3 linked regions of the Cricetulus griseus genome follow. The protein of the gene in region 1 purifies or fractionates together with the protein of each later gene. This does not show direct contact. Links are inferred from orthologs where the notes say so. Each region holds a gene or a part of one and is shown on either strand. Other genes may lie near its edges.

The links.
Region 2: the proteins of Git1 (region 1) and Pak1 purify together in Homo sapiens (affinity purification with mass spectrometry; 6 studies listed by BioGRID and IntAct, with this or other methods). This does not show direct contact. The link is inferred for Cricetulus griseus from reciprocal best matches to the Homo sapiens genes GIT1 and PAK1.
Region 3: the proteins of Git1 (region 1) and Grk2 purify together in Homo sapiens (affinity purification with western blotting; 4 studies listed by BioGRID and IntAct, with this or other methods). This does not show direct contact. The link is inferred for Cricetulus griseus from reciprocal best matches to the Homo sapiens genes GIT1 and GRK2.

What each region holds. Positions count from the first base shown.
Region 1 is NC_048600.1:90,901,491-90,905,136, reverse strand, and holds part of Git1 (ARF GTPase-activating protein GIT1), read right to left. Parts: intron 2,639-3,646; coding exon 2,505-2,638; intron 2,100-2,504; coding exon 1,987-2,099; intron 1,879-1,986; coding exon 1,773-1,878; intron 1,271-1,772; coding exon 1,053-1,270; intron 972-1,052; coding exon 877-971; intron 537-876; coding exon 494-536; intron 1-493. UniProt on the Homo sapiens protein: GTPase-activating protein for ADP ribosylation factor family members, including ARF1.
Region 2 is NC_048596.1:101,664,590-101,668,335, reverse strand, and holds the start of Pak1 (serine/threonine-protein kinase PAK 1), read left to right. Parts: upstream 1-1,538; 5' UTR 1,539-1,708; coding exon 1,709-1,777; intron 1,778-3,746. UniProt on the Homo sapiens protein: Protein kinase involved in intracellular signaling pathways downstream of integrins and receptor-type kinases that plays an important role in cytoskeleton dynamics, in cell adhesion, migration, proliferation, apoptosis, mitosis, and in vesicle-mediated transport processes.
Region 3 is NC_048596.1:54,951,633-54,955,378, forward strand, and holds the start of Grk2 (beta-adrenergic receptor kinase 1), read left to right. Parts: upstream 1-1,496; 5' UTR 1,497-1,697; coding exon 1,698-1,810; intron 1,811-3,746. UniProt on the Homo sapiens protein: Specifically phosphorylates the agonist-occupied form of the beta-adrenergic and closely related receptors, probably inducing a desensitization of them. Key regulator of LPAR1 signaling.

The sequences.
Region 1 (3,646 bases):
AAGTGGCTGGGGATAGCCTCCACTGCCTGGGTTATCTTGGGGCCTCTGAGATCAGAGGCAGAAATTCCCCATTACTACCCTGCCTGGGATTCCCATCCAGTTGGGAGCACACTGGGGGCCTGGCTAGTAGTCCCAAAGTCAGCCAGTTCCCCGGAGCTATCTTCTCCCTGCAGAGGGAATCCTTTATCCAAAGTGACACAGAAGTCCAAACGCAGTGGTCCAACCTAGTCAGGCCTTCTTTCCTTGTACCAACCCCCGCCCTCCAATACTTAGTAACCACAAGGCTCAGGTGCACTGGTGTGTGTTGAACCGACATTTCTCACCTGCCTTGGGGGTATACAGTAGGTGGCAACTAGGCTATGAATTTCTGTGTTGCTAGTCACTATGTGTATAGGGTGGGGTGCCAAGCCACTGAAGCCTGGGAAGATGTAGGGCTCTGGGTCAAGCCACCTTGACATCTAATAGCTGAAAGGGGCATCAGGTGGGCACTCACCTGTCAGCCATCTGTGGGATGATGTAATGCCCATTCTTGTGATCTGAACAAAAATAAAAATGCCAAGTCACTGATGCCAGGTGGCGCCAGCACCCAGGAGCTTACCTCACTACCATGAGCAGGGTTTGACACCTGGAAGTGTCAGAGGAAATGGAGGAGGGCAGGATACCCCAAGAGCATTGAAAACTGGCTGCAAGTCAGGCCCACCCCCACTCCTTGGCCCCAACATGCTTGCAGCAACCCAGAGCCTGCAGCAATTTCACAGGAGCCAGTTGCCTAGCAACACAGTTCCCCAGCTGGCTTTGTCACTATGGCACCTGCTCCTGGGTGTGCCTAGGTCCCACCTGCCTGGCCTAGTCAGGCCCAACTCATTCTCTGCTCACCGGGCTTGCGTCCACAGAGGTAGAAGGCCAACCGGTCAGTGAGCTCATACTGGCACTCAACTAGCCTTTCTGCCAGTTCATGGTGCCCCGCCTGCCTGTGGGGAGGGACATGGCTCAGCCCTACAGCAACAGTCCATTCCTCTCCACCTAAGCCTCACCCTTTAACTGATTCTCACCTGGCATAGTCGATTGGCGTGCGGCCATTGACATCAGGGGAGCCGGGGTCAGCCCCATACACCACCAGCAGTTCAGCCTGCAGTGTCTGCCCCGCCTTGGCAGCCACATGTAGAGGTGTAGTGCCCTTTTCTGGGTGAAAGAAGTTGGCCTGGGCACCCAGGGAAAGCAGGCGAAGACATGTCTCCAAGTTGCCTGTTCGCACACTGGAGTGCAGTTGCTGCAAGGAGCAGTGTGTGGTTAAGTGGGAGTGAGTGTGATGGATACTTGTGAGTGTCCGAGGAACCTCCCCCACACACCTGGCTGTTCCTGGTACTCCTACCAGCTCCAAGGGGCCTCGACAAAACTGGGCCATGTCAGGCAGGCTAGAGGGTAATGTCATTAACAGTTACTCCCAGTCACTACCCTTCATGTGCTCTGCTTGGAACACACAGAAACTAGAGGCAGGTGTGTTACTACTATCCCATTTCACTGATGAGGAAATAAAGGCTCCGAACAGCTAAGCGAGTACCCCAAGTTTTCCTAGCTTCAAGTCGTAGACGGGAGGCCCTATGTCTGTCCACGTGAGAGTGGAGGTATCTTAGCCACCAGCTGCATGACAGAGCAAACTTCCCTAGCCCCAGGGTGTCTGCACCTACTTTTTTCCCCAGCCCTGGGTTGCCTCTGGGACTTGAATATGGAAAGAGGGGTGGCCCACCCATCTGTTGAGGGGCTCCTCACACCTTGCTGAGGTCTTTGGCAGTGACGCCATCATCATCGCGGCAGGGAAGCTTGTGCACAAACGCCAGCATTTGGTACTTGGCCCTGATGAACTCTGATTTGATGGGGCTGCATGGAACACACAGGAGGCCATGGGAGCGGAGCTTAGGACAACCACCATTCAGGCCCCTGTCCCAGAAACACGGCCCTGCCCACCACCCCTGCAGCCCCACTCACTGGACTTTGTCTTGGGGGTTGGCTTTACGCCGGCCACTTTGCACTTGTGCAGGGTCCAGCAGGGAGTGCTCCCAGATGGAGTTGGCCCCGTTGCTGGCAAGCGTGTGCACCATCTGTGGGGAAGAGATGCCAAGCAAAAGAGTGCCCACTCTGTGCTGGGCACTAGGGGAGACATTCCCAGAGTGCCTGCTGCAGCTGGAGATACCACCAAAGGTCCTACTGTGTGCCTGCTATGGCTGCCCTCTATCCAGTCAGGCCACCCAAAGTCATGTGTCCTGTGTTTAGCACTTCATGCTGGCTTACCCTGGTGGGTTTGCCAAGGTTCAGAGAGTTTCAGCAACTTGCTCAATGCACTGTCTAAGATAAGCATCCAAGCTAATGAATAGACACTACAGGGGAAGGGGTGAGTGGAAAGGTTGAGGGTCATACTACTTTAAGTGGCTACTGTCTGACAGGAAGAGGGTTGGGGATACCTGGGCACTGCACACTGGGAAGGAGTCTCTGGTTTAATCCCCTACCTGTAGCAGTGTAGGAGGCCAGGCGCTGTGGCGAAGGTGCTTGACAATGGAGATGTGTCGTCCCAGGCTCCGATGCACACTGCAGCACTCGTCACAGACCAGCACACCTCTGCTGATAGATGCCCAGCCAGGATCTGGGGGAGCAGAGTAGGAAAGTCAGCTGAAGCCACAGGACAGGCACTACTTCCTAAGCAGCTGCTCTGGCCTGGCATATGCTTAGTGCTTCAGGTACATTCACTCAATCTGCTCAGGAGCCCAGAAGCTGGCTACGAGCCCTTTCCTGTAAGTCCTTGCACCTTCCTGGGTATGCATGGTCCCCAAGGATTCTCAGTGGGTACAGTGTCCTGTCTCACAGCCACTGCTACCAGTTTCACAGCCTCTCCTCAGGAATCAAGACTGCTGCCTAGCCATTCCACAGGGAGGCAGAAGTCTCCTATGGGATATGACCCTGACGCCGTGTATCACACAGTCCTGGGTATGTTCCTGTTGGACCCCATCCGACAGACTGGTTCCTACCCCTACTCTGACACAGTTGGAGTTTCCAGCTTCATGCCACCATCAACTGTGGGCTGCAGCCTTAAGGACAGACTGAGCAATGGAACTAACCTTGGCTGAGGTTTCACTATTTACTGGCCAAGTATTTTGCTCACAATTCCTTTCACAAGTGCTATCTTGCTCTACTGATGAGGATTCAGTGGCTCAGAGAGGTCAAAGGGCTTGCTCAAGGTCACACAGCTAATAAGCACAGCTGCTGGGATGCTGGAGGCAGGTACTTCAATGCCAGACCAGGCCAAGCCTAAACTTGCTGCCCTCTGCCCCTGCAGTCTCAGGACCAGCCTGGGAAGCCATTCTCCAGTGAGGACAAGTGGGTAGGAGCTCCTGGTCCTCAAGGGTAGTAGAGATGCTACCACCCCAAGCCCCTCTGGAGAAGGGGAGGAGAAAGCACACACAGCTCAGGCCACAGAAAGGAAAGGTCATGGGGGAGAAAGCGGCCATTGTGTGCTGTCCAGAGTGGGGGCAGGGAGCTGCTCTCCCAGGACACTCTGCTCTGCCCAGGCCCCCACCCAGGCCCAGGAAGCCTTGTTCTGGGGGTGGGGCTGGCTCTCTGCCTTCCTTATTACAATTCAGGATGTTCCGAAGTG
Region 2 (3,746 bases), on another chromosome or scaffold:
GAGTTACAGATGATTGTGGGCCACCTTGTAGGTGCCAAGGACTGATCTCTATCAGAGCAACAAGTGCTCAACACTACTGAACCATTTCTACAGTACCTAAAAAGTTTTATTGCATTTATTTATTTGTGTATGTAGTGTATCATATGTCATGATATACATGTGGAGATCAGAGGAAAACATGGGAAAGAGATACTTGTGTTTAACCTGTGTCCCAAGGATTGAACTCTGTGAAAAGTTTCTGCACCCTGATAAGCCTCTCCACCAGTATAGCAATCCAGATTAGACCAAATCAAACCAAACTAGAAAAAGCCCAGATTTAATGGATACAATTCTCCTGGTTGGTTTTCCAGTCCCCCAGGGAGGAGACAGAAAAGAGAGACCGGGAAACAATGTTTTCTGGTGTACAGTGTAAATACCCTGTGGGAGTGGTCTTGAACATCTCTGGGGGAGGGGTCATCATTTGATGGGTTTTCTGAGATGGGGCAGTTTGGAGAGGTGGGGGAGGGGGTTTTCCACCAAAACATTCCAGATCCTTTGGGTATATGGATGCCAGGGACTGGGGTGAAGCTTCCATCAGAACACGCAGGTCATCAGTCTTGGCAGCAAGTGCCTTTACCCACTGATCCACTTTACTGGTCCCAATTGTTTATTTTATTTTAGGTTTTTGAGACAGGATTTCTTTGTAGCTTTGGAGCCTGTTCTGGAATCACTCTGTAGATCAGTCTGGCCTCGAACTTACAGAGATCTGCCTGTCTTTGTCTCCTGAGTGCTGGGATTAGAGGTATGCACCACCACTGCCCAGCCCCATTTTTTTTTTTTTTTTAATGTAGAAATTCCTATCTCCTCAAATACTGCACATACTCAAGATTTGGAAAGGGTGAATAATGGAAGAGCTGAATTTTTTCTGTTTACAGTTCTTTCTCTGCAATTAGATGAATTTGGGCACACTGAATGGAAGTGCAAACATTTGTCAGGGAAGATGGCTGAATATTTAGTGAGTTGGGTTTCATGCTGGTCTAGTGGATACTCTATGCTAGTCAGTAAAGACTGGGCTACTGGAGTTAGTATGAAGATGACCAACAATGATCTGTTATAAACAAAACAGATAAATGAGAGGACTAAAAAGAAACAGGCTTAGGAACCAGACCGTGGTATATAGATGATTGTGTTGTTTACTGGATGTGTGATGCTGGGGAAGTCACCGTATTTTCTTATCCATTGCTTCCTGTCTTATACCTGGTCTGCTGTGTTACTTTCAAGCAGTATCTTCAGAATGTGTTACTTCTTTTCATCTTAGATATTATAATAAATTAGTACTATCTTCTTCTTTCTGTTGCCTATAGCTCTAAGAGATTCTGTTAATGTGCTCTTGCCCTCACTCTCTCCCACTGACCAGGGGTCTTTTAAAAATGTCAGCTTTTGTCATTTTGTTTTTTCAGAGCACTTCCATTGCTGAAACTTGGAGCAAAATCTAAAGTTATGAGCAGGTGAGATGGCTCAGTGAGTAAAGGCACTTGCCACCAAGCCTGACAACCCAAGATTGATCCCTGGGACCCATATGGTAGAGGAGAAAACTGATTCCCATGAGTTATCCTCCAATCTTATTACAAGAGATGTAAATAATTTAAAACATCCAAACTCATTAATTGTGACCTGGAAGAGATAATCTGCATAACTTGACTCCAGTCATAAACCTCAAAGGCAAGGGATGAGTTGGATGAGTGGAGCCAGTGGTGAGAGATACTGTCTCCTGTGGAGCACTTGGAAATATGTGAAGGTACTTTTTTTTTTTTTTTTAAATCATTGTAGTCCTTTAGGGGTACCTTTTATTGGGAGGGGACAGTCCAGAGTTGGTTCTTTAATATGTTGTCCAGGTCTAGTTCTGTCATAGTGACTAGTATCTAGCAGGTCCTTAAGAAATTCGGAGATCATATTCTTCTAGGACCTCAATTCTGACACCTGTGAATTGATGTAGTGCTTACTCCATAAGGCTTGTAAAGTACTGGGACACATACAATAAATAGCTCTTAACAAATGGTAGCTATTGCTGAGCTTTGTTCAAAGGAGAGGATGGTATAAGGGAAACTTTTTGAGAGTCAATATTAAGAGATCTCCCCCTCTCCATCCTAGTGTGAAAGAACCTTCAATCTGATTTGAGGAGGTCTAGGAAAGACTCCTCAATACCAGGCTGCAGAACTAAGGCACAGAGGATCTCCGGTTTTCTTCTTGATCCTGGGGCTCAAGGGGACTTTGGTAGCTCTAGACAGCCTGCCTAGCACCTCTTGTTGGAGCCTGAGTTGGTAGAACAGCAGAGACAACCAGAATGGTGGGGATGTAGCTGCTTCCCGCCCCTCAGCGCCTCTTCAGAAAGGAGAGGGCGGGGAGAGCGCTCCCCGCCCCCTTCCCCTCCCTTTCTCTGTTCCTCCCTCCCTCCCCGCCCCTTCACTGAACCACTCTGTCTTTGCTGCCGCCCTGAGAGGGCCAGAGTGTGCTGCTCCTCTGGAGCTGTGTGGCTGTTCTGCTGTACCCAGCCGAATCCAGCCTGTCAGGCTGGTTCAGCCCTGGCTTTGTCGCAACTGCTGAGCAGGGAGAGGTGCGGCGCTGCGACAGATACACAAGATCATCAGAGATGCTGGGCCCCGCACTCCCTGCCAGGTAATGCCGGCCTTTCCTGGGCCTGGCACAGCTAGGCTGAGCTAGGGTAGGACGAGGGGGAGTCTTGCTGCTTTGTGGGGTAGAATGGAAGAGCATTACATTCCACTTACCTTAAGGGACTCTTAATGAGGGAAGGGCCTCAGGGTGGAACCTTGAAATAAGCCCACTCAGGGCTAGGCCTTTGCTGGAATTAGAGATCTGGCTAGAAAAGGTTAGAAGGGGAAGCTGGATTTTTGGGGAACTATGAGGCCCCCCCCCCTGCCCTCCTTTGTAAGCATGCTTCTGCTTAGTGGCCTGGGTGATGCCTTTCTGTGCCTTGGTTTAGCTGAAGGTTTACTAGGATCAAAGGTACTGCTCCCTGGTAGGAGATGCAGTGAAGAAGGAGACCCCTGGTGCTGTTCCTGTTTAGGCAGCCTCTGTGAGCCTCAGTTTCCTTATTTGTAGAGAAGGGTATACAATGTTTGTAACTGGGTTTCCTAGGCTGTCAGGTTACCTTGGAAAGGTGAGCTAGATACAGACTAGAGGAGCCAGCCTTCTGTGTGTATTTTGCTGGTCTGATTAGAACCAGTGACTTCAGGGCAAGACAGGTTGAAAATGCTGATTCTCTCTTAGGGGCCAGTGTAGGTATGTTGCTGTAGGGCAGTGGGGGTTGAGAAGAAACAGGTGAAAGTATGTTAATATTTTTCCCTGAACTGGCCAATTCTTTGATACTTAGGCCACTGCTATAAACTAGGCTGTCTTCTGAGGAGCACTGTTATTGATCTACTAAGTAAATTGCAGACCTTGAGATTGTATAATGCCTTAATCACTGTAATTCCTTCCTTTATTATTTGGCACCAAGAAATACAAATATTAATGTACCTTGATTATTTTGGGCTTGCTTTCTAATCTCAGTTTCAAAAAAGCTGTGTATTTCTTCTGACAAGCCTTCCTTTCCTTCCTCCTCCTCCTGGTCATTTTTTCCTTGCCTGCCCCCTCACCTGTTCTCCTACCTCACCATTTTTCTTCCTTCCTTTCCTTGTATTCATGCTTTCCACTTCTTGTCTCTTCCCCTCTATAACCAGTTGTTTTTGTTTTCTGTTTTTTCTTTT
Region 3 (3,746 bases), on another chromosome or scaffold:
GGAACAGCCATTCTGGTCAGAGCCTGTATCAGTAGGGCAGTGGTTATAAGGATCCTGAGATATGAACAAGACAAAGAATACTCAGGAGGCTGTAGTGATGAAGTAGGGAGGAGGGGAGGATGAAGCAGGGGTCAGGGGAAAACAGCCTGGGTTTTGACTTGGATGTCCAAGGATATCATCCACTGATAACCCCCCCCCATCTGATTTGTATTGATCCAAAGCAGTGAAGAAGAGCAAAGGAAGTAGGGGTACTTGTTTTGCTGGTCTGTGAACTGGAACAAGAATCAGTTTCTAAGTGTCCAGAGCTGGGTTTGAAGAGCCCAGGCACGTTTGGAAATCAGAAAGGTGCTCTTAAAGATTTTATTTATTTATTATATATACAACATTCTGCTTCCATGTATGTCTGCACACCAGAAGAGGGCACCAGATCTCATAACGGATGGTTGTAAGCCACCAGTGGTCGCTGGGAATTGAACTCAGGACCTCTGGAAGAGCAGTCGGTGCTCTTAACCTCTGAGCCATTTCTCCAGCCCCTAATTTTTTTTTTTTTCATTTGTTTGCTTGAGATATGGTCTCACTATTTAGCACTGCCTGGATTTGACCTTACAGAAAGACACCTGCCTCTGCTTCTCAAGTAATGGAAGGACAGAATAGGCAGTAGTTGGTTACGATAGAAGGAGGCACTTAGAAGGCCACCAGGCCTGAGGATCTGAGTTCCATCCCTAGGCACCCAAGTGGTTAAAAAAAAAGAGAGCACTGATTGTCAAATTGTCTGTCCTCAGACCTCCATATGTGCATAAGTAAGTAAATAAAAAATAATGGAATAAAAAAAAAGTTCAGCCCTCATCGGAGTGTGGTTTGGTAGCTCACACAATTTAATCCATCTCAGCACTTGGGAGGCAGAGGCAGGCAGAGCTCTGTGAGTTAGTGGCCAGCCCGGTCTACGTGGTGAGTTACAGGACACCAAGGACTACATGGCAATCAATACCCTGTCTAAAAATAAGGAAAACAACAGCAAAATGTTCATAGTATTGTCACCCGAGGTCTGGGGTCCGAGGTGTTTATGTTAGTGTGATCCTGAGAAAATGTTCTGAAATCTGAGTCTGGGATCTTGGTCGGTGTCAGGATTCTTATTATCGTCCACGGTCTGGGGTCCACGCCCTGCTGGGAGCATGGAGTCTAGCCTCCTGAGGAGATGCGATCCCAGTTTGTGGCCATCCCCTAGGGTCGTCCCGGAGTCCTGGGTGCAGGACTCAGGTAACAGCCCAGGACTGCGATCCGCGTCCCTGTCCCGGACCCGAGCAGCGCGGCCTCTAGGGGGCGCTGCCGCCCGCCTGCCCGCCGCCCGCCCGGCTCGGCCCCTCGGCGGCTCGCTGGCGCTGTGCGCGGCAGCGGGGCCGGAGGCGGCGGCGGCGGCGGCGGCAGCTCCGGGCGCGGGCGGGCGGAGGGAGGGCGGGTGGTGGTGGTGGTGGCGGCGGCGGCCCCCGACTGCAGTCCCGGCGGGAGCGGAGCGCGAGCCGGGCCGGGCCCGAGCCGGCGCCATGGGGCGGCGGCGCCTGTGAGCAGGCGACGAGCGGGGACCGGACGGGGCGGCGGCGGCGCCGAGGCCGACAAGCCGCGCGGGCCGAGCCGGGCCGAGCGAGCGGGAGCGGAGCGGAGCCTCGGGCGGCGGGAGGAACAGCGCCGCCGCCGCCAAGATGGCCGACCTGGAGGCGGTGCTGGCCGATGTGAGCTACCTGATGGCCATGGAGAAGAGCAAGGCCACGCCGGCCGCGCGCGCCAGCAAGAAGATCCTGCTTCCAGAGCCCAGGTGAGGAGCCCGCCTCTGCCGGGCCCCACGCGCCGACCCGGGTACCATGCCCCCGGGGACCCCTCTCTCCCCGCCGCCCCAGGCCCCGGGGACTCCCCCTGCTCCGGTGACCCTCTGCCCCAAAGACCCCACTATCCGGGCCGCCCCAGGACCCGGGGACCCCCATACTCCCGGATCTTCTGCTCCGGAGACCCCACTATCCGGGCCGCCCCAGGACCCGGGGACTTCCTCTCTCCCTGCCACCGCAAGGCCCGGTGCCTGCGAGCCCGGAGCGCCCCAACTCCAAGCTCCCATCGCGCTCTCCCGGCCGCGCTACCGCTTCCTGTATCTCACTGCTGGGCCTGGTCGCTGTCAGCCCCTAGCTCTGCTGCAGCTGTCTTCCCACCCTGGGTGCTGGACTCTGCCCTCCACCCTTTGTGTCCCCTTGGGGTTCCTTTCCCCAGGTCTGCCTCTGTTTACCCAGTCTGTTGCTCCTGCTCCCAGCACCCCCCTCTTTGGCGTTCCACTGTCCTATCCACTCCCCTCAGAGTGGGTAACACTCTTGTTCGGTTTGTGGAGTAGGGAGGACCAGTCTGGAGACTTTTTTTTTTTTTTTTTTTTTTTTTTGCCTTCTCATCTGGTAGTGTCACTGCCCCTGGCTTGGATTTGAGAGTACTTTGGGGGGACAGTGCTGTGTGATGTGTCTACCATCCCTCGGGGCTGTGCTCAGGTGAGGGTAGTCCCTTCTCCGTTTTCTCCCCATGTGGTGCCTTGTAGGTACTTTTGACGAGGGGACAGCCCATCCTACAGTAGCTGGACCGTGCTGCCACCTTTCTGCAAGACAACTGATGTCATTGCACCTGGTATCAAAGTTTAAACTGTTCAGGATGTGGGTGCAGAATCGGGCAGGATGTGAGAAGTGTAGCTGGGGTTTGTCCAGTATATTGTGGCAAATAGACTTACCTTCCCATTTGAACTCACAGGAGACCAGAGAGTGAGTGAGACAGGTGTAGTTTTGTGCCCATAGAACAAGGTTTGTGTGTGTGTGTGTGGCGGGGGTACAGCTCCCCCTTGAATGGCTTGTTCAGTGTCACCCAACCTCCACATCAGGGCTTCTAGTTGTATCTTTTGTTCACTGTCTTGACCTGAAGGATGGCCTGGATGTCCTGCGTCTGGAAAAGCAGATGTGTCTTCTACACATCAGGATGCCTTATGGTGGATGGGTGGTGAGGTCAGTCCCAGAAGTTTTTCATGACAGTCCCTTTAGCAGCCAAGAATTGTTCCTGACTTTACCACCATACTCTTATCACAAGACATGGGGCAAGTTCTTTTCCTTTTAGACCTTGATTTTTACCTCTGTGAAATGTGGGCAGTATGAAATAGGCCTCTGGTGGCCCCAGTTGTTGGAGCAGGGTTGGCAGCTTACAGGGATGCTGTTGTACACTTACCATGCCCCTCCTCCAGTGGCTGCTTACTGGGTTTCGGGTTGACTGAGAATCAGGCCCGTAGAGGAAAAATTGGTCTGCGTTTCGAAGAGGCCGTTGCCCCCCCCTTTTTTTCTAAGACATTTGCAATCAGATTTCTCAAAACAGGAACTAGACGAGTGTCAGCCAGGGCTGTCTAGGGGCAGCGGCAGTTAGGACGAAATGAGTTCAGAAATGACAAAACTTCAAGGGAAGAGAAGGGGGAGGCTTGCAGTTAGCATCTAGGGCACTGTCTATCTCTTCTGGGCAGCCACAGCCATGAGAGTCTTGTGCAGGTGTGAGGTCTGCAAAGTTTGAGGTGGTGCCTTTTTCTAGAACTCTCCATATTTGGATAATCTTTCCCCAGAATGCATTTCTCCTACTGGGCCCTGCCTTGAGTGTCTTCTGCAGGCATTAGAACCCTGATGAATGAGCTGTGCCTCTTCCCCTTTCCCCTTTCATTTGGTGGCAGTGGCGATGTGACAGCAATGAGA